3 linked regions of the Schizosaccharomyces pombe genome follow. Changing the gene in region 1 together with any one later gene gives a genetic interaction. Each region holds a gene or a part of one and is shown on either strand. Other genes may lie near its edges.

Evidence for each region. A genetic interaction does not mean that the proteins touch.
Region 2: of scd2 (region 1) and skb1, changing one suppresses a phenotype caused by changing the other (phenotypic suppression), as found in Schizosaccharomyces pombe (one study listed by BioGRID).
Region 3: of scd2 (region 1) and rga4, changing one enhances a phenotype caused by changing the other (phenotypic enhancement), as found in Schizosaccharomyces pombe (one study listed by BioGRID).

What each region holds. Positions count from the first base shown.
Region 1 is NC_003424.3:2,379,591-2,386,797, reverse strand, and holds scd2 (Cdc42 GTPase complex scaffold subunit Scd2), read right to left. Parts: upstream 4,295-7,207; 5' UTR 3,627-4,294; coding exon 3,618-3,626; exon of another isoform or gene 3,565-3,617; coding exon 1,963-3,564; 3' UTR 1,645-1,962; downstream 1-1,644. Other genes in the region: SPOM_SPAC22H10.08 (uncharacterized protein), read right to left, coding at 1-891; metallothionein Zym1, read right to left, coding at 4,916-5,068; SPOM_SPAC22H10.06C (uncharacterized protein), read left to right, coding at 5,197-5,478; SPOM_SPAC22H10.05C (cleavage and polyadenylation specificity factor complex subunit), read left to right, coding at 6,555-6,626, 6,772-7,207. UniProt on the Schizosaccharomyces pombe protein: Required for mating and morphogenesis. Interacts directly with scd1 and with cdc42. May bridge and facilitate scd1 and cdc42 interactions.
Region 2 is NC_003423.3:2,274,164-2,281,062, reverse strand, and holds skb1 (protein arginine N-methyltransferase Skb1), read right to left. Parts: upstream 3,809-6,899; 5' UTR 3,789-3,808; coding exon 3,599-3,788; exon of another isoform or gene 3,550-3,598; coding exon 2,051-3,549; exon of another isoform or gene 2,005-2,050; coding exon 1,816-2,004; 3' UTR 1,439-1,815; downstream 1-1,438. Other genes in the region: ATP-dependent RNA helicase Prp43, read right to left, coding at 1-1,300; SPOM_SPBC16H5.12C (uncharacterized protein), read right to left, coding at 4,356-6,282, 6,342-6,453, 6,762-6,899. UniProt on the Schizosaccharomyces pombe protein: S-adenosyl-L-methionine-dependent protein-arginine N-methyltransferase that can catalyze both the mono- and symmetric (type II) dimethylation of the guanidino nitrogens of arginine residues in target proteins.
Region 3 is NC_003423.3:1,836,164-1,844,625, forward strand, and holds rga4 (Rho-type GTPase-activating protein Rga4), read left to right. Parts: upstream 1-3,252; 5' UTR 3,253-3,459; coding exon 3,460-3,546; exon of another isoform or gene 3,547-3,683; coding exon 3,684-3,739; exon of another isoform or gene 3,740-3,881; coding exon 3,882-4,231; exon of another isoform or gene 4,232-4,294; coding exon 4,295-6,603; 3' UTR 6,604-7,024; downstream 7,025-8,462. Other genes in the region: SPOM_SPBC28E12.02 (BICC1 family RNA-binding protein), read left to right, coding at 164-2,155; protein Cbp7, read left to right, coding at 7,298-8,368. UniProt on the Schizosaccharomyces pombe protein: GTPase-activating protein for Rho-type proteins.

The sequences.
Region 1 (7,207 bases):
GTACTGTTTGTAATGACTATGCTTTAGTCTTGAGCCATTAATGGCATCAATAGCAAGAGTAAACTCATCGTCCACGGTATCTGGAGAAAAATATGCTTCTACCAAGCCTATGAGTTTGGCAATTGGATCACGATTATATCTCAAGTAACTGTTACTATCAGCAATAGAGTAGAGACACCATCGTACTTTCTCTTTTGTAATTTTGCTGCTGTAATACTTTTTTGCAATATGTTCAACAGCTCTTTCTTTCGCTTTAATATCTTTTTGAATCGCTGAGCGTGATCTATTTTCAGCGACTATTTCCATAGTAGCAATTTCGGCATAAGGATCTTCTAATGCGTTCAAAGCATCCCTTTCATTCAAAAATTCATAGACAGTCAAAATGGGTTTAAAGAGGTTAAATCCAAGTGCGTCTTGAATTTCTGGTCGCATAGAATCTTGCACAAAGTACATCAATTTCCCATAAGTAGACCCCAGTCGGTTGGGATTTAGCACTTTATAACGTCGACCTATTTCAAAAATCTTTTTAAAAAATTCGGCATGTTGTTCAAAATTTTTATGCTCAAGCAATTCTTGTCCAACTTTATAATCATAAGCAACCATGATACCCGACAAAACTGCAGTAATTCCTTTCAATTGCTGAGCCAGTCTTTTCGCTGGCGACGAAAAGCTTAGGGTATCAACGCTGTCGGTATAATCACTCACATCCAATGCAGCAGTAAGTAAATGAAGAAGCTTTCTTTCTTCATATTCAAGTCTCAAAGGAATCACTTTGGCCCTTTGCAACAACACAGGAGAAGAAAATTTCTTTTCAGGTGATTCATTACCCGTTTTAGATTCATTGGGGAGAATGGATGACAAATACAAATTCCTTAAGGCTTCAGCGTCCATGTCTATGTAAAGAATACGTTCTCATGAATTAATCATACAGGTATAAATTAAAAGGAGGAAGTATTAAAGTGAGGGAATCTTTAAAAAAAAATTTTAATTTAACATGTGTTTTTGCAATGTTGAAATAAAAGCAACTGCACAGCTGTAATTTATTGTTTTTTGATCTATATCGAAGGTTGGGCGTTCACTACTTGTCACTTCAACAGGTACTATTTTCTACCGCTATTTTAGATGCCACCATTCTAAGTATACGGAAAAGGAAATTATATGAGCATTTTTTATTTTTGAAATTTGATAAGCATTAAGGAAAGTATGCATGTAGTAAAGCAATATTTTAGATAAACTAACAAGATAAAGCGTCTTTAGTATTGGATTAAATGTATGCAGCATGTTACTTGTGGTCACATTAAATGTAAGAAATAATGTATACATAAATGAAGTAAATGTATAGAAGAAAGCGTTTCCGGCTTCCAATATCTAATTGTTTAATGAATCAACAGGTAGTTTGCAAAATTGCCTTTACCAAATTGGCTGTATATAATATACGTGATCGATATTGTAGCTGGTTCATATGAACCAATTTATTACTGCGACATGATATTGTATTACCAAATCTGCGTTGATTCAGCTGATTAAGACGTTGTCAAGAAATGTTGAACTTCTCGCAATAAAAACGTTTTTATTTTACTACTTAGGCTTACCTTTATCCCCTTTTGAAATACGTCAAATACATATATGTTTGGAGGAACAGTATCAAACAACTAATGAAAATATTCAATTGAATGATTGTGAACAAAAAGGGAGTGCATAGTTGAGATTTTTTGTTTATTTTACCTCCAAGAAAGCTAATATATAAGGAGAATAAACATTTTGCATCTTATTCGGTCGTGATTAAATACTATCCAAAAACGCATACCTCTCGAAAAAACAGACAGATATATTAGAAAGATAAAGAAAGCTATTATACCGATGAAATTAAATTAATAAAAGTAAACCATGAAAGAACGAAACGAAAAAAAAATAAAATGCAAGAACGTAATAAGAAACCCAAATCTTTAAATATACATAGTCTCAAAACCTCCGTCTTTCTGCAAAAAGTAAAACTCCTGATTCTTGAGAACATGCCTTCCGTAAATCGTCAACATTATTAAGAGGTAATACTTTATTCGCGTTCGTATCTCTGTATGACAAATGTTCACATTCTCCGAGTTTATTAGTCAATCGTTCACAAAAATCTTCAAATGAGATATCAGAGGGAACGCGCAAAGCAAAGGTTTCATCTCCTAATCTGACTTTAACTTTGCATGTCGAACCTGCAGTAGTCGGAGCTGATTCGGGAATAGAGATATTAGTAGCTTTTTCAGGAGCTTTCTCTGGCAAAGAGAAACTTAACGGTTCTCTGGGTAAGGCTTCAGGCATCGTACTAGTTGGATGAGGGGACTCAACGTCTCCGTCAAGCGGTAAGAAGAAAAGTTTGACGAGTTCATTTTCGAGTAAACGAGCTGGAAGCCTGCACATTTCCTTCAGATATACATCTAAATCCATTGCCCTTTGTGAAGATATTAATTCATTAACGTCATCAACTGGACCGGGCATGTAAGGAATAACTCGTCTTTCGTCCCCACGACCAGCTTCATTAGGAAATAACTCTAAAAACTTCGTCTGGAAATTAAAAAAGTCTTCGTAATATCTACAAAGGTTTCGATGTTTTCCATCACTCATAACGGCACGGACCAAATACCAATATTGGTCATCGCGAATCATGTAGTTTTCCACCATTGCAGCAACAACGGTAGGTTCAGAAGACATGTCTTTCTTGTTCTTAGAAGCGATGCTAGCCGTACGCGACTCCAATGTTTGCAGAGGTGTTAATTCGTTAGCGACGGAACCAGGAAAAGTGCTTGAATTGTCAGTAGCAGCTTGATATGTAACATCGTTATTAATTTGTAAATTTTCAGTGCTTGGACTTAAGCTAGGCATAGTTTGAGTTTCACCATCACTGAATTTCCCTAAAGGAATACTACTCTTTTTATAATCAGCAGCCGCACGTTTCCAATCCTCTACACGAGGTATGCAAGAAATACGTAAAACAGCCTCACTAACGTCTTTTATCACAGCTCCGGTTTTTAAATCTCGAAGTTGTATAAATGAAAGAGGAATGAGACCTGGACCCCCTAATCGTCCTATAGGTTTGGCTACTAACCACTCATGATTTGACCGAGCAATAATTATAATAGCCTCACCCGCCTTGGCTTCAAGTTCATCTGGTCGTTCAGCAGCAAAATCGAATTGCACAATTCCAAATAGCGGCTGTGAACCAGAATGGAGTTCACTGATTGAGCTCCTAGTGGTACTAGAATTGGTGGTTAAGTCTGTAAATGATATTTGCCCGCTGCCATCACTGTCTCGTTCCGATTTGACCGTTTTTCCTATCTCTTCAAAATGAGATACTGGAACAAAGCCACGAGTACCTGCAGCGGGATTACAAACTTCGTACCAAGCCTTGTCATTTTCACGACCTATAACATGAAAAAAGTCACCCTTGGCAAATGAAACTTCAGTTGCTTTACGAGCTGTGTAATCATAAAGGGCCCTAATAACTTTTCTCGGGGGTTCAATTGAAAAAGGATCTTTATCAAGAATTCGACTATGAGTTTTCCAAGTCCTTTTAATCTAGAGATGGTTAATAATTGATTAATTAACAAAAAATTTTTTTTGAAGCATACCTTTAACATAGAGACTGGAATTAGAACAAAAAGAAAGAAGGTAGTAGAACAAAATTTGAAATTATATTACAATAATCTCAGAAAGATTCTAACTATTAGAATTCCCTGCAACAAAAAGATTTAACTTAATTTTCATAAAACGATCAAGTGGAAATTATAATTACAGACAAACTGTTAAAGCGATAACCTACTGTAAGGGTATATGAATTAAGATCCGAGATAGCAAAAGGAATGTATGAAGAAAAGGCAAAAAGAATGGCACGGATTTAAAGAAAGCAATATATTGTAAATGAATCAATAATTAATTTCCAAACACTTTGAAAACGCTGTCGTTTTTATGAAAGATGAGTATACAGGATATAATATTCTCACAAAACAGACAAAATCGATTTGTTAGCACGTTGTAATTAGAAAGAACGAAGAAGCTAGCAGACACTCAATTATAGTGACTGAACTGCTGAGCCCTGAAAGATAGATGAAGGAAGAAAAGGACGGGAAAAGAGGCTTAATATAGAACAATGAGAGTTGGTCCAAGCAGCAAAGTAATATATTAGAAGAATACAAACTCAACAATTTTAAACAAGGAAACGTATTAAAATTTTTCCCAACTGACTCTCTTATTAATTTCCCTCTTACCAAGTATAAAATTACAGATCTACAACTTCTATGTTCAAGTTACCTTTCAGTTAATTCTGGAAGTGAATTTTGTCGCGTAGCATTGTAGTTCACTATCGTAATTATATTATAATGAGTATTAAACAGTTTAAAGGATTACGCGCTATTAGCGTTCGCTATGAAAAATAGATTCCGTAGTTACCCAAATATAATGTATACATTTGCTTTACAGAGCTTAACTTAGCAATGGTATAGAAGGAAGAAACAAACGTTCGTTAGTGCCGTTAAAATATTAAGACATAATTTTGGTTGAATTGATACAGAGTATCTTTTTTTGCACATAAAACTAATTTATTGTGGAAAAGAATCCACAATAGTGGACGATTTTCCAAGAAGATGATGCCCTTACTCTACGCTAAGCAAAAATAGCTGTTGAAAATAAATCAATTTATGATTTCATTATTATTCATAACAATCATATCTTAAGAGTTGAGTTGTAAGTAAGAATGCTCTGTAAAAAAGTAGCAATGTAGTAGGATCAAGACATCAGGGCGATTCGTTGGTCCATAATAGTATTGTTTTCTCGACTGATGCTTCGAAAAACAATAAGACGAGGCGGACATTGCTTTATGGATGAAATATTTCGTCAAGGCCAGAACTACAGTCCGTAAATCTCATATAGATTACTTCGAAGCACATTTGCAAGAAGAGCACTTGCAGTTATCAACAGCGCTGCTCTTGCAACCACAAGACTCTTTGCAATCTTGGCAACCGCACTTGGATTGGCAGTCGCAAGGCTTGCCTTGTTTGCTCTTACATTGGGTAGTGTGTTCCATCGTTGAAAGTTTGTTAGGGTGATATGAGTTGTTGAAAGTCGATTGTCTCAAGCACGCTTAAAGTGGTAAAAAAGGTGAGAGTAGGGTGCCTTTATATACATTTTCCAAGCTAAAGGATTGACAGTATCATGTCATGTCGATATAGGATCTGCAGGGATATTTGGAGAGGCAAATGCATATACGTATTTAGATGTTTGTACACAAATCATGCTGTTGTTTCATGGAACCAAACAAATGAAGTGATTGGACTTTACAAAGCAAATGAACATAAATTTATGAATAATAGAAAACAATCTCATATTAAGAATGGGTTAGTTGTATCATATTCAATATTATATCCAGTTGGTAAAGGTAGATCTCTGCGTAGTACTGGTGTTGTTTTGATTCTGGGTCCTGTTAAGGAATATTAACACTTTACATCATCTGATACTCGGGTTCCGTTCGTATCGCCACAATAGTTCCCGCCAAAAGGTAGGTGCCGCAATGGCTTTACTCCAAGATTCTAAATTCATACAGACTAGCTATGCCTTCCAACTGAATAAATATCAGACTTGAGGGCATATATGAGGAGGGTGTGGCAGAATTCACTTTTGTCCGTCAAATTCACTATTAACATTGGTTATAAAATACGCAAAAGTAAGTCTTTACGAGTTTAGTAAAAGCTGAAACTGATAGTTCTACAGTTTTCCTACTTTCTAGAATTCTCTGTTTCTGCAAACTTTAACTTAAAATTACATTGAAAACATTGGTTAAATTCGTTTGTTTACATTTATTTCTAAGCATAAAGTTTTTGGATTTATGCATCTTATCTATGTTTATGTACTCCTTTATCAGTAGATTTTATATTGACAGATAGATTGAGTATATAGTTGTTTACATGTTTAATCGCGTGGTGAAGCTTCTAGCAAAATAAAACATCGAGCGTTTATTAATAGTGAATAGAAATTAGGCATAAGAACAACTGAGGCATTGCACAACTTATAAATGTCTACGCGGAAGCTCATCACGAACTTTTGGTATTAGTTATTCGTTACGCTAGTATTATACTCTCTTTTCCATGTTTATTTCTTTCGCTTGAAGAGTGGATTATACACACATTGTATCCACTTATTTGCACAGGAAGTATTACAAGTGGACCTTTTCAGGTTCGGTCAGTAAGTTTTAACGCATGCTATCTTGCATTTTAAACAACTTTCCCTTTAACAGAATCACATATTGTACGAACTTATGGGCCTAAAAATATACTTATTTTCTGTCATAAGTCGTCCAGTATAAGATAATATAGCATCATAATAAAAACTCAACTGTGGCACATATCGTTATATTGACTACCCTTCAGTAGCTAACATTTTACGAAGTATCATATTCTTCGTTATCTGCACTTCAGATGGAGTTAGTATACCATAGTTTTCGTAGCTTCTCTTGTCTTCATCCTGAACAGTCAGCGGTCTCAGCTGCTGCTTAGATCCATTTATATTTTTAAGAAATGAAAGAAATTTTCATTCCGAAAGAGTGTGAATGGAGATTTGAGGTCGACGAACCGGCAATTCAAATTCGAGTAAGTTCGTGGTGATATTGTTGTTTACGACATGAAGTAGCTTACTTTTGCTACTTCAGATTCTAGCAAATATTTACTTAATTTATTTAACTCTTTCTTTAAATTTTTTTTTTCTTTCTTGGAAGTATTTTCCTAACATGTTTAGCTCGTGTCTGGAAATGCAGAATATTTTGGCACTGAATTGGCTTTAGGTCCACCATATCATTTTACTCGTGTTAAAGGAGCGATATATACATGGCAGGGATGTACTTTAGAAGTTGAAGGTGAACCGTCCGTTGAGTATGTTGCTGAAGAAACTCCTATGAGTACATATCTAAATTTGCATTTTGCTTTGGAAGGCCTTAGATTACAAGCCGAAAATGCCGCTGCAAATGATGAGTCTTCATATGGACCGTGTGTTTGCCTCATTGGCCCAAGAAGTTGTGGTAAAACAAGTGTCTTGAAGATTTTAGAATCATACGCTTTGAAACAATCTCGACATCCAATTTGTGTTAACCTTGATCCTACTCAACCAATGTTGGCTCTCCCTGGGTCTATTTCTGCATTTCACAATGCCACTATTCTTGACATTCAGGATGCTG
Region 2 (6,899 bases), on another chromosome or scaffold:
GCTCAATCAATTCTTTGCGAAAAGCTTCCTCTGTGTAAAGGCGGAAACATTTACCAGGTCGAGTACGTCCAGCACGACCAGCACGCTGTTGTGCACTGGCTTTGCTAATAGGACTTACAAGCAAAGACTCAACTCGGATTCGGGGATTATAAATTTTTTGTTTACTAAAACCAGGATCCACCACATAAACGATACCATCGATAGTTAAGGATGTTTCTGCGATGTTTGTAGATATAACTACTTTACGGCCGTAACCCGATTTTGTATCTTCCGGAGTTGGTTCGAATATACGTTGCTGTTGATTTGGCGGTAAAGAACCATAAAGTGGATACACCTTCAATGGACCAGCGGCTCCTTCACGTACAAGATCATCAGCTTCCAAAGTAATCTTACGGCAAGCATCTTCAATCTCTTCTTCACCTGTAAGGAACACTAAGATATCACCGGGGCCCTCTTCAACATGAATTTGAAGCACTGTACGAAGCGCGGCTTCTAAATAATCGCGCTCAGGTTCTTGGGTATAATAAATTTCAACAGGGTAAGTTCTACCTGGAACAGCTAAAAGGGGAGCATCAAAAAAGTATTTTTGAAACTTTTTAGCATCCAAAGTTGCAGACATGACAATAATCTTAAGGTCGGGTCTACGTGTAGCCAAACGCTTCATTAGACCCATCAAAATATCAGTTGCCAAGGTACGCTCATGTGCTTCATCAAGAATAATACAAGAATAACGAGAGAGCATATGGTCTGTCATGGCTTCACGCAAAAGCATACCATCTGTCATATATTTTAACAGAGTGTTAGGTCCACTACAGTCTTCAAAACGAATGTTGTAACCAACTTCCTCGCCCAAGTCAACGTCCATTTCGTCAGCGACACGTTTTGCAACGGACATAGCTGCAACACGACGTGGTTGAGTACATGCAATTTGTGTATTTGTTAAATGAGGCAATTCATCATAAAGAACAAACTGAGGAATTTGTGTTGTTTTACCAGAACCAGTTTCACCAACGAAAACAATAATTTGATTCTCGTGATAAATTTTGAGAAATTCTTCTCTTTGCTGGTATACAGGAAGCTCTCTTCGAGTTTCCAAAATCTTAAAATAATTTTGACTAAAAGGTTTATCATTAAAAAAATTGTTTGGTCCTTCTTCAGCCTTAGCTGCTTGTGCAACAGTCGTAGCACGTCGCGTCAACCCTTTCGAAGAAACAACTTCCTCAGAATCATCACCATTGTTTAAGTGTGCCAAATACGGGTTCTTTGACTCTTGCCTTAGTTTCTTCTGAGCTGGTTCCATAGTCGAAAATCGCCCTTATATAAACCCTTCCCACAATTCTGTAAATGGCGAAGAACACAGTGCATACTCCGTACTACAAGCAGTTAAAGAATTTTCCAACAAACCATCTATCTTAACATTCGTTATATAAAATTGAGTGGCATAACGCAATGCGTTGTTAATTTTCAAGTTCGGACTAATATAATACATTAATGAAAATTAATTAACTAGTATAGTAAGCAAATGACAGGGTATTTCAGTTGAATGAATTTGCCTGTTAATTAATTGTGTAAAAAGGAATGTTTAAGAACAATAGTTAAAATTCTGGCAAATCGTTTAAGACAATAAGTATAGGAGCATTACTCCTTCTTTCTCAGCAAAATCTTGATTGTAACAGCTATCCTAAAACTAATCGACTTTTGTTAAATTCAGATTTAACTAAATCCAAAAAATTTTTATAATCAAAACTCCAAAAAAATGGTTTGAAGACCCGTTTTAAACCATAAACAATAATGTAAAAGAAGGACTATTAATTTTTAATACATATTACACGAGAACGCTTTTCCGGAAATGTTGTGGACCTCCGTAGAAGACAACTTGATTTGACTTCCATTCCGCAACACCAGATAGGCATTGGCACACCACTCAAACCAAACCCGCATACCGTCCGTCAATCGCCACATGTGAAATTCCAATTGGCTGTTTTCTGGGACGTACATGGGTTTCTAGGAAATATTAGTATACAGTGCAACGTAAAATATAGTAACTTACCTTAATGGGCATATAAATAGGGAACCATGAAAACATGTCAGGAGACTTCGCTTCCATAGTTGCTGGCATAATTGAAAGAGAAATATCCTTATATAATGTAGCTTCAAAATATCCTGCAAAACCGTGAAGGATTCCAGGACTAGAGGCCTGAAAACGAACACTAGCAAAACGTTTGTTATGCAAGTTTTTAGTATAAACCTCACTATCTTTGTTTGGGTGATGGAAGGACCAAAGGGACTGAAAACGGAACTCATCATCTGCAGCCAAAAAGTCAAATGAGTTCATTAAAACCACGTACTGTCTTTCAAAAGCATTTGGGTCATTCATATTACGAGCTTCAGACCATAGCTTAGGAGACATAATAGGAGTAACATAGGAGATGTAAGAAGATGGAATGCATATCCCAGTTTCTTCATCAAGCACATGTTGTACACCATCTAGACACTCCGGACTAAGTTCATTGTCTCCCATACTACCCAAAAGTTCACTAACAAGGATGTCAATTTTATAATCAGGATTCCATGTTCTCATATCTCCAAATACTAGAGTAACTTTGCCAGCCCAATCCTGGCGGTTTCTCATCAATAGCATGGAAAAAGCGTTAGGATTTTTCTCAAGGGCGATCATATCAACCGTTCTAGATGAAGAAATTGCCGCACGTAAAGCACAGTCGACTAATGGACCTCTTCCCGCACCCACAACGGCAATTCGCGTGACAGAAGATTCGTCTCTATCCATCAACGCAGAAAAAATTGCTTGCTCATACTGGGCGTACTTAACGGGATCTCGCTCAAATATTTCATAAGTAATGTTTTCCAAATTGTAGCTCAATGGTTGAAGAGGAACTTGCAGATAGTCTTTATAAGAATCCGCGAGATCTTCTACAAGTGGAGCTGGAGGCTGTGAATCAAAGAGGTGCTTCATATATATGCTGTAGTCGGGGGAATCACCTATTTTCTCGGGTGCGTCATTATCCCAAAGTAAAATTCGAGGATTGAGACGTAGATATAAAGCATAAATAGCCCTCAACTTACGACCAAGTACTGGATAGCCGTTGGGATTAGGAACGAAAGCCATACATGACATAGTAATCATCTCTATCGGTTCCGCGTACCATCGATTTACTAGCTCGATTGGGGGTGAACAAGCGGGAGGTAGCTCTAAGGCCACCTTCAATCTAGGGTGATAACCACATGCTGAGCGAATTGTGTCCCACATTTTCCATGTCTCAAAATAGTCTTCATGACCACTTTCGATTGCCAATTGTACCAAGAATTTTAGATTCATTGTTGAGTTTAAAGCAGAAGATACAGCTCTCGCATAACGCATAACGTTCATTGGTGAAGTTGGACCATTTAGGATGATTGAAGATAACCCACAATAAGAAGCATATGATGCTTCCTTTAATAACACTTCTTCTGATCGATCAGCGATTAGTGTGTCTTCAGAATCTAACTCCAGCCAAGCTGAGGATAAACCGACCACCTTGTGCACATTTTCTATAGTAAAATTGGTTAATATAAATTTTCTTTCAAATTTGAAACATACCCTCAGGGTGATAAGCTACTTCATCGTCGAGGAATTCCTGCAAACGCTCTGACGGAGCTAGAGCTTCAACTCGTAGCTTTAAACCTTCACCACTTAACGGAACTCCAACAAACTCAAAACCCTCTTCCAAAGACAAGGAAATGGTCCCCTCTGAACAAACTATTCCTAGAGTGGGCGTTTTAGAATTCATCGGCGGAACTGGCAATGGGTAAATACTGTACTGTGGAATACGGCCATCCCGCAATAACATACGGTAAGGGTTGGGACCTTGTGTTGCAAAAACAAAAAAAAATTGTTTAGTTGAGTAGCTAGCTTATTGTTTGTGAGTGTTTTAAATTTCAACTTGGTTATTTAATTAATGAATTTGATCTATTAAAACTTACATCTTTTCTAAGAAGAAAAGGCTAATAACTGCTATTCTAGCATAAAGTAATTAATTATTTTTACTATATAGTTTTCTGCGAATCAATCTTGTCAAAAATCACTTTATTATTTCTAAACAAAGTCGATATGAAAGAAAGTAAAGTAAGCACCCTTTTGTCAATGACAACCGAATTCGAAAAAGATATCTTAAAAGAGTCATATCAGTTATTTTGGCTTCGCAGTTATTGAGGTAAATGAGTGCGTCAGATAAATTTCATGAAAACTTCATCATTCATGAGGTAAACTTTTGCATTAACATCAGTAAAAAGGTGAAAAGATGGTATAAAAATCAGTTCTAAAACAGCATTGAAAACAGTGCAAAAAATATTCATCATTAACCATGGGTAGTAGGTTCAGCGCTTTGTTTATTGACACTTCCACCGCTTTGTAATGGACGAGGATGCTGCATTCTGTTCATTCGGCCGCCTCGTCCACGTCCACGATTGGTACGCATTCCAGTTCCATGTCCCTCCATCCGGTTATTTCGATACCATCCTCTATTTTGACGATAGTACGAATCATCACGCATGATATTCACCCGCACACCTTCTGGAACTTTGATGCTTCCAAGGGCCTTTGAAACAGCATTCTGGTTTTCAACAAATACATATGCATAGTTAGTGGGGTTTACGTTTTGAGGAGCTTGGGGACTTTTGTAACGATTGAGTGAAGTACGAATTTGAATATTCGTAATCAGGCTGTCTGTCCCGTCCTTAAAGTAAGAACGGGCTTCCTCTTCAGAATTGCAAGGGGTAATATGAAATCCACAACGTTCATAACGCTGCTCACCACTATATTGACGGAATTCACGATCGTTGCCCTTCTGCATATCAGTTCTTCTACCTTCTTGTGCTTGAGATCTTGTAACATTTGCAGCATTCTCTTGTTCAAGTATGGTAACCTCTGTAGTCGTCTCACCTAGCTCGAGATTTCCAGTACCCTTAGTCACCTCTTCAACGTCAACTTCCTCTTTCCCTCCAATTGCTGGTTGTTCTTCTTCATTAGGACTAGGCTTCTCTGCTACGCCAGAAATGGGTTCTTCCTCGGCAGCAGGTGGTCCCGACTTCTCTTCGATTACTTCATGAGTCTCAGCCGACTCTTCTGTAGTATTCGCTCTTGACATTCCTAGCTCATCAGTATGTTCCTGATCGTACCCTTCAATCTGTTCTTCTTCGGTTGGTGTAGCCGTAGCTTCTCTGTTCTTGGTAAACTGTGCTTGAGATTCCACCAACCTATTGTTAGCGTAATAATAGGTACCGGTATTTTCCGAAGTTGAGCGTGGAATGTGAGATGCATAATTTTCGTTACGACGTGAAGCCATGCGACGATAGCCTAAATTAAAGCCATGAGATTTGCTTTCCACTTGAACATGCCCATTTTCGACGACAAAAACAGTCCATCCAAAGGAAGCATCTAATAAATTGAAGTTCCATAGGTTTTTAAAAGCAGTGCCGGGAAGCATGTTATTCATAGCATATGAGTTAGTTGCATCGGGCATGCGAGAGACTAGGCGAACAACATTGTTTATTAGATGATGTTGTTCAGGGGTAACCATCTTCTCAACCTCAGCCTTAACAGTGTCATACACTTCCATAAACTGTGCACGGGCAGCCGAAAGTTTTTGAAGATAATGTTCAGGACTATGATTTACGCAAAACTCATTGTAGCTAGCTCCATAACGAAAATGAAGACCGGCGGATAAAGTCAGGTCAGCCTGGCAAGCAGTAGCTAATTGAGAAAGAACACCTTCTCTTCCAATGGGATGATGCGTAATAAAAATACGTGCCTCCTCTCTGTCAAGCAGGCTCTTAGCGGTTTCTATTAGTTCACCCATTTGAAGGATTGTAGTCCACATAGTACCCTGGCCACCAGCAATAGTTCCTTTACCGTCTCCATTGTCAAAAAGCTTAAAAGGGACATAAGGACCTCCAAGACCAAGTAAACGGATTTTCATATCTCCAATTTGCAATAGGTAGGAATGAAGTTCGTCCACTATGTTAAGGTTTGGAATAGAATATTCTCCAGAACGAAATTTTTCCAAAACGTGCACATCTTCGCAAGCTCCCCATACTACATATACAGGGACTGAGAATTTCTTCTCTTGTGACAAAAATTGAGGTAATTCTGAAAGCAGGCAATCGGGGTGAGAAGCAATACTATTCTTCAAATCCCCAATTGGATTCGAGGGATAATAATCAAAGTTTTTGGACCTAGGAAGCTTTTTTATGAGAGGCGAGAATTGGACAATGTGACGAAGAGTACTGAAAAAAGGTTAGAACAAAGAAAAATGAAACATAAAAATTTTTGACACAAAACATACCGTTCAGATATGCTAGGAAGTGAGGATCGCTCAAAAAATCCAAAGTCACCAGTGTGGATGACACAGGAGGCATTGGTTTCCTCAACCAGGCTATTTATTAAACTCAGTTCACCTGAAGGGATAGTTATTAGTAAAAACGCGTATTAAAGAGTAGTAATTTTAAGGATAGGAATAGCTAAGGAGAATAAAGTGTATGGACAAAATTCTTTTACGAACCAACGAGGATCTTTAATGACAAAATGAGTAAATTGAGCAATTGCGCTTCAACTCCTGCTAAGCCATTATGGATAAGTTCATGCAAAAGCATACAAATTCGCATCTTCTTATCTTAAAAAGTAAAACGATCGTCGATAATTCCCCCGATGGGGTGCTTTTGAATTCTCGCTGGCAGCTCTAAATCCATAAACAACGCATACTTACCTCGAACATCGGCAATACATAAGATCCTGGATTTATTATCCAATGTGAGTACTTGAGCTGAAACATCCAACGTGGAATTATTCTCGGAATCTGAGTACGTTTTAGAGGATTTATTTTCCAGCGTCCCAGTTGAAGGTT
Region 3 (8,462 bases), on another chromosome or scaffold:
TAACTTTCGGAATAATTTTGTATTCAAACCTATATCGTTTATCATTCCTTTGGATTTCTTTTAATCTTTCTTTCGAACACGAAAAACTTACTCTTCACTAAGCTTCGAAATTTCCAATCAAACGATTTAACAATAAGAAAATTTTGTGCTTAAAATCACCAAAATGGATTCTCATGTTTTAGCATTTCCAATTCCTGATCCATCTACACCTCCTCCCGAAGAGGCATCCCTTTATGCTAGTAAATGTGACTATTATGAAAGCGATATTTACTCTCAAATTAGGAGATTAACCGAAGAAAAGTGCATTGAGACAGAAAAAGAGTTGCCAGTTAATATAAAACTACATGTCAAACATAAAGGAATGAGCATATCATCTTCCCGCAATGAACTAGTGGTTACTGTTTCAGGAAATTATAAAAATGTGTACACTGCAAAAATAAAGATTTTGCAAGCCATTCCCAAAATTCTAATCAGCAAACTTGTGCTCGAAGAACCCCTCGAAAACCTCCTTTTTGATGAAGATGGGTACGTTTATGAAGACACTATGAAACATTTGGACAAAATAACGGAAATAACGGGAGCAAAAATTTATATCATGCATCGTTCCATGTGTCATGATATCGATTTTCAGCTACGTACTGACAGCGGATTCAGCAATCGATTAAATGAACAACAAAGCTTCTACCAAAGGCATTTAGAGTCTACTAGGCATGAATTTTCATGTCAAAAGAACGCAGAGAATTCTTTTTTTATTGTCTTTTATGGTGACTATTGCAGCGTTGAACATGCTAGAATTCGCGTATTAGCATTAATGGATGAAATCAGAGGATTATCGGTAGTAGCTATTGCAACTTCTGTATCTTTTCAGCCAATTCTCGTTGGAAAAGCATTTTCTAGTACTGCCGGAATGAAGGCTACTGAATCAATTAATATTTATACATTACCGTTTTGCAGCGACTCAATCCCTCGGCTTCAAACCTTACCCGCCTTAAACTCAAGTAAAATAATTATTACAGGAGAAGAGGAAAAATTGCAAAGACTCGAAGAGGCGTTTTATTACGCAGAAGAACATCTAAAACTGTTTACTCACGTAACAGAAATTTCATTTGTTAAGCTTTTCGAATTTCTCGCTTACGAAATGGATGAGCTTCGGCTTATTATGGAAGAAAATTCTTCGTTTATTCGCTTTCCTGAGTATTTCAAAGAAGGAGGAGAAACGAGCCCAGAAAATTCAAAAGTCAAAATCTACTCATCTTCTATAGCGAATTCTGAAAAAACAGCACTCCGATTGGCAAAGCTTGCAAGTAAATATGTACAAGGAAAAACTCAGTTTGGAGTTGAAGACAACGAAGACTTTCTGAGAGTTGCTGGTTCTTGGAGAAGAGCGTCTACAATTGAAAAAGGAGTTTCAAGCTCTGAATTGTCCTCTATTGTATCCTCGACTGGCTCCATAGTGGAAACAAATGGAATAGGAGAAAAAATGTCATTCTCTCCTCTTAAGAAGCTAAGTATTCCACCAACAGAATTTGTAGCTCAAATTGCAATAATTTGCATGGCTTCTGGAGTCGAAATGCTCCTAAAAACCAATGGGATTGAATATTTCGGACAAGAAAACACCGTGCCTATAGCAATGGATAAAGCAAGCAAAATATTTTATAAATTTGGACAATCCCAATGGCACCAGATACTGCTTGAAGCCCCAACCAAGGATCAAGATTTCATATCCGGTAAAAAAAATGGAAAACTGGATAAGGTAAAGCAGCAATGCCGTTTCAACTTAAAGAATGGGGACATCTTGTTTTGTCCCCAGTCGACGAGTATATTCACGGTTGATATATATAGTGACGAATTGGAAAGAGTAATTAAAGGAATGAACACAATGTTGCTTGAATTTCCAGCTGAGATGCACTTTTACGTTCCAGAGGAGATTCACAAAAAACTCATTGGATTTCGAGGAGAGCAAATCCAACGTGTAACTAAACTTTATAATAGTTACATTGAATTCTCAACTACTCCTTTTGACTGTTACGGGCACAACGTGCTCATTCGCACACCATCAAAGTTCTCCGAAAATTTGTGGGCCGTCCGATCTTTATTCATTAAGACAGCTGAAGGATTAGGATACGACATCCCGAAGTATTTGTTTGCTAATTGAATTTTAAGTCAGAATCCAGTCATCGACCTGCCCATAGATCACCACACTTTCTCGTTATATTTTTTATGTCCATAACAGACACTCAAGCTGGTTATTAAATTCGGAAACTAAATTTTTTGAAAATCAAAAGTGCTCCACTGTATCAACTTTGATACACATCTTAAGTGCACAATATAATTTAATGAACGTGATCCACGCAGAATTTTGAAGCACATGACAAGTTTAAACTTTAAGCAGTTCAACGATTTGTGCAGGACGGCAACCACTGTTCGTATGCCTTTTTTATTTCTTATTTTGTTAATAAATTGTCATTGAAAACAAAAGATAAAACGTCGATAAACACAGCTAGATTGATATAATAACAACAAACATCTTTTCAGTAAAAAGAAGTAGAAACTGGCACTAACCGTTATTAATCAACTTGCTATACGCTGTGACATCTAACACTCTTTGACCAGTTAATTAGAATCGTATTTGATGAGAAAACGATATTGAGTTAATCCATCCACTTTCTTTGGAATGCATGATGATTAAATTAGTAAATTAAAGAAACAAAAAGGGATTACACAAGAGTTGTTAAACATAAAGACGTCGTTCGACTATAAAAAAAGACGTGTGAACCGTAATGCACCCTTTGCGGTTATTGGGTTTCTTCGGTTTTTTTTATACAAATTATATTACGCTTAACTGAACGAACTAATCAAGTAGCACAGAAACAAGCCACTCTTATTTTTTCTCAAGAGTCGAGCAATACTTCGTTCTCGCTGACAGGATTGCTAATAACACTAACGAAAGATGAACAGGGGGAATGTTGTATAGTTCATTTTTAGTCGTACAATAAATCTCGATAAATTTGTATAAGCAATATCATTTTAAATGTTTCAAAATCTCAAAATAATATGAAGGAAGCAACCATCACTTACACAAAGTATGAAACATAAGGAAACGATATAGAAAGAATCTGGAAAATAAGCAAATATTAATAATAGCTAGATCGAAACCTGGTGGTTTATTCGCTGCAAAGCCATAGCGGTAACAAAAGGAACAAATGCCAGTGTAGCCTTCTATATAAACAAAGGTCCTATTCTTTGACCTCCACCACAAACGGCTACGAGTTTAAAAGAGCTAGCAAATGTTGTAAAGCCTTGGTATTTTTATTTATTTTTTAATCAAGAACAAACTTTGAATAAAACCGTAAAGAGTTTTCTATCTTAGCTGCCGCTCATTTTTTGAGCTGGTGTAATTTACCTATCCATTCTCTTGGGAAACACCTTTCTTTTAATTTTCAGAATATTGATTTCCTTATGAATTCGGGTACGACACTTCATCTGGACAGACTTAGTTTGGAGACGCCATCCGAACGTACTTGTTTTTGTATTAAATGTTGGGAAGTATGTGAGGTTCAAAATTTAATCGCCGTGTCCGGAGAGCGGTCTTTTCACAAAACGAGACCCTGTCTTGAAATTGGACACTGCTCTTTTATTTTTTCCCAGCTGTAATGAACGGCATTTACTAACTTTTGCTCTAGAGTGTTCCCAGTACCTCTCAAGTTTGGTTCGGTGGGAAATGTTGGCATTCCGATTGGTATGATTGAAAATGCAAACGTTGGGATTTTTGGATCTTTTTTTTTTCTTATAGATTGAATAAAAAAATATAAAATGCTCCAAAGATTACCCTTGTTTGTGCTTCTTGTTGTTTTGATTTACTAATTAAGACGGTTTGCTAGTTTTAAATGTGTGAACTGCAACAAAAAATTAGACCCTTCCTCTGAAGATTTTTCTCAAGACGATCAAAAGCAAATATTCTGTAAATTATGTGTTGATATCTGCAACGGTTGCTCAACTCCTATTTGCGAGTTCAACGCAGTAAGCAATAGTCAAGCTAATCATCCTTGTTGCTCCAATTGTCGAGCTTTCATTAATTCAAATGCTTTTGGCAAGTTCAAAGGTCAACATTACTGCCTTCCTTGTTTGCGTAAACAAGATGAAGAGAATCAAAAGGCTGTTATGGAAAGCGCATCAGGGTTTATTCCTCTTAGGAATATCGCACAAACTGCGGAAAACACTTCTTTAACTGGTAAGTTTGTTGCTTATGTAGTATTTATTGATATTGTCTTTATGTTTCTAACTTTAATTTTAGGGCAAAACCAAGGCTTTCAAAACCCGCATTTTATAGCGTCTGATTCTCCATCCTCCGTATTATCTGGTCGAATGCAAAATACCAGCTCTCCTACAAACTCTCTCCGTCCTCAATTAAAAGTTCAAACTAATGGTTATGAAACACCTGGTGATATAAACTCCGCAAAATCTTACAAAGACATCCAAAAGGACTTCTTACTTAAACCCAAAAATTCTTTCGTTAAAACCTCTCCCTCTCCACTAGCTAATGGTCCCTCATTTCGTTCAGCTAATGCCTCTCCATTTGATTCGTGTGACTCTTTTCATTCTGGAAGTTCGATACCAATTGAACCAGTTTCTTCAAGGCAAAGCTCAGTAGTAAATAATAATAGCGTGCAGCAACCTGTTGCTTATCACGCCTTTGTTCAATCACCAACCGAAAATGGTACGCTTCCTCAACTTCCTAAAAATGAAAGCGTTGTTAATCCTCCTCCACTTCGCCGCTCTTCTACTATGAATTACAAATCTGTTTCGACAACAACATCACCATCTAAATATGGATATGTGTCTGGCAGAATAGCTCTATCTCCTATCCATTTAAGGGGTGCTCTTCGTGATGTCACAAATAAATGTAATTTAAAGGTTCCTAGAAATCGAAACAGTTTATCTAATCTTGACGAATATTACGTTAACGGATTGGAAAGCGACGAAACTCCTACAAAGGCTAGATTTCCTAGATATCCTACGGTATTTAATAAGTTAGATGACAAACGACTTAGTAGCGAACCAAACGGCTTGAAGAAAAGATTGACGAACTCTTCAAATTATGAGGCTTCCCCGCGGGCCAAAAGTTTAAATTTGTCGCAAGTTAGTTTGCATCAAGCATGTGAACCTGAATACAATCGAAGTTCTTTGGTTAGAGCAAGTGATGTGTTTACTTCAAACGTATTTGATGCTACAGAGGAAAGCGCAAATGAACTCGCCATTCGTATTTCAGAGCTTCAAGCTGAGGTTGGAACCTTATTGTTGGAAGCGACTTCGTTGGCTTCTATCATAGAGCAGCAGACTCCCGTGTCCCCCGAAGCTTTCAAGCAAGAGTTGGTTGCAGATTTAAATTATAGATTAGATTATTTACGGAAATCTTTTCAACCTGAACTGTCTACCTTACTTTTGAGGCGAGACGCTTTGTCTACGACTGTCTCTAAATTGCAAAACGCTTACAGCACTGTAATGGAAGAAACCGCATATCTGAATGTTAAGAACACAGAACTGGTAAGCCTTAACAATCAATTGGAGAGAGAATTGGCATACTTGAGGGAGCAGCAGCATAAGAAGCGAACTTCTTCCTCTTTCGGAATATTTAATAATGATAAAAAATCCAACCGAACGATTTCAACCCCGTCTCCGCGAGAATCGTTTTCGCGTCTACAAATGGTTGCATCTAGCCTTGGATTTAGACCCAAAGACAATAAAGACAAGGAGAGTGGAGGGTATAACAAACGGAACTCTAAAATAGATCTTAAGAAGTCATTTTCTAAACGGTTTCATTGGAAAAGAGATTCTCCTCACATGTCGAGTACTCCCAGTATTTCTGAAGAACATTTAGCTTCTGAAGAACAAGAGGATTTCGTTCCAGCGGTCGGTCACTGCAAACTTTGCGGTAAATACTCCAATGAGCTTAGAGCACATTATCAGGATTGCGTTAGTTCTACTATAGATCGTCAGTATCAATCTAAAAAAAGCGAATCTCCTGTTTGGGCTTTGAATCCTGACGACTTCGATCAAAACAGGCTAACACTCTTGAGAGTCCCGACGCTTATCGTTTCTTGTATAAATTTTATCGAGTCATACGGCATGGATTTTGAAGGTCTGTATCGCAAATCAGGGGCAACTTCTCAAATGAAAAAAATTGTTGCGTTACTAAGAAATGAAGATACGGTACTTGATCCAAGTGAGGATATTTCTGCTGTCACTTCTGTATTCAAGCAATATCTTCGCAACCTTCCTAATCCAATTATTACCTATGACCAATACTTTCCGTTCATCACAGCAGCAAATTGTGCCTCTTTCCAAGATAAATTAGACGGTTTTATAATGGTCATCAAAAGTCTTCCTCCAGCTCATGCTGAAATTTTGCAGCTCATTATTAGACATTTAGCAAGGGTTGCTGCATATAGTCATGCAAATCGAATGACATCCAAGAACCTTGCAGTAGTATTTTCCCCAACATTAATACGCGACCCCGATAATTCCAGAGACGTTATTGACATGACTGTTAAGAATTACAGTCTTGCGTTTTTGATAGATCATGTACATGAAGTCTTTGCCTAAATTCACACTATCCTTTAATAATTCGCTCTTTTGTTTTGCACGTTCCTTTATATTCTTTATTCGTCTTTTTTTGTTGTTTTAGTAGTTGTACCATAACTTTGGGCAGTTATATCGAGATTCCTTTTTGCATTTGCTAAGATAGTTTCATTTTTGGTCATTTTTAGATGTCATCGTGAAATCAGTGGCAGATGAGTGTTTTATGGATTTGGCGTATAGCTTCTTCATAATGCATTATCACTGCAGACTGACATCCATCGCTTTTATTTAATCATTTCCCTGTTTTAGTCTACTTGGCATTACTCACAATGCTAGGCTATGAATAAAATGCAATTGCATGTATAAAAAAGGAGAAATTTGTATTTTTTTTTAATTTTATTATGCTTTCAAGGATTTAAAGAAGCATTTTTTCCCAAGATCCCTAACTTAGGAAATGCTAGTGCAACGTATTGTGAGTAAGTGATTTTGTAGATATATCATGCCCATTATCTTAATGGAATTCTAAAAAACCAAAAGCAATTCCTATAAACAAAAATTATATACGTTATATGGTAAATTTTTTGAAGGGGGTTAAATAGAGTTTCGAACGTCTAACAAAAAACCAACTCCTGTTTTACTACCACTTTTTTTTGAGAAAAGAGGGTCTTTAAGCAGGATATTTTATTATCTATGTGAACAAAATTACGGAATTTTACTAATGGCAGATGTTATTAAACGATGCATTTTGGGCCCGACTGAAGCCGGCTGGTTCGTCGCAAAGTCTCAAATAAAAAAACCAGTTGACCAAAGACCGGTTATCCTAACCCATTGTAAGCTGCACAGCAAAATGCTAGAGCCAAAGGCGATTGTTTATAAAAAAAATTCATCTGCAATTCCTAAACGAGTTGACAACATTCTTCTTCGAAGTCAAAAGCCCAAACATATAGAATGCCTACTTGTGGACTCTAAAATCACCAAAACAAGGAGCCTTTTGAAAAGATTTGGAAGCTGTCTTGATGAAACTAGTACCATTGTACTTTTAAATCAAAGTGTTTCCTTGTGGGAGGATTGCTACAGTTTATTTCCAAAGACTGAAACCAGACCGCGAATATACCTTGGCAGGTTCCAAACTCTATTCAAATCTTTTCCATTTAATTTAATTAGTGATTCTTTCAGTTATCGTCTCAACCTTAGCAAACTTCCTCGTACACCTTTGGAGAAGTGTACGGTAGCTAGAGCCTGTAAACAGTTTCCGTTAAACCAAAGGTCCCCTTTACTTGACTTGATGGGTTCCTTTGAAAGGGACTATGTAAATTTTTCAAATTTTTCACAGATGCTTTCTGCACAGTTATGTGACTCTATGGCTTTTTTAATTCAAATTTTTCCTACTCCATTACTCAGGCAAAAAGCTGCGAATGCGTGGATCGAAGTACTTTCTAAATTACCATATTTCCATATTCTTGATAAATCATTTTTTTCTCCCCACTTGTTACTTCAAAGCTCTGAAAATCAAGCATGCAAATTTTTTAATATTGGTCCTCAAGTTTATTTCGATCCTAGGGAAAGATTGCTTCATGTTAAGGAGTTACTGAAGTTCGCTTTAAAGCATATTGACAGTAATGATTCTCTATTTACATTCTTAAAGCAAACTTGTTATACTTGTGATTCGCCTTATGCTAAAGTGTTTCAGCCCGATAAACAGTCGTTTCATAGCATAATTTCAAGAAAGCGTCTTGCTCATCTTGAAAAGGAATATTTTGATAAGGATGTATCCAAATTAGTGCTTTGATTTGATATGAGGTGAAAAATTGACCGAACATATTCCATCTACTGGTAATTTAACTGTTCAATCCGTTCTAATAAATTCACCATAATTTCGAGAG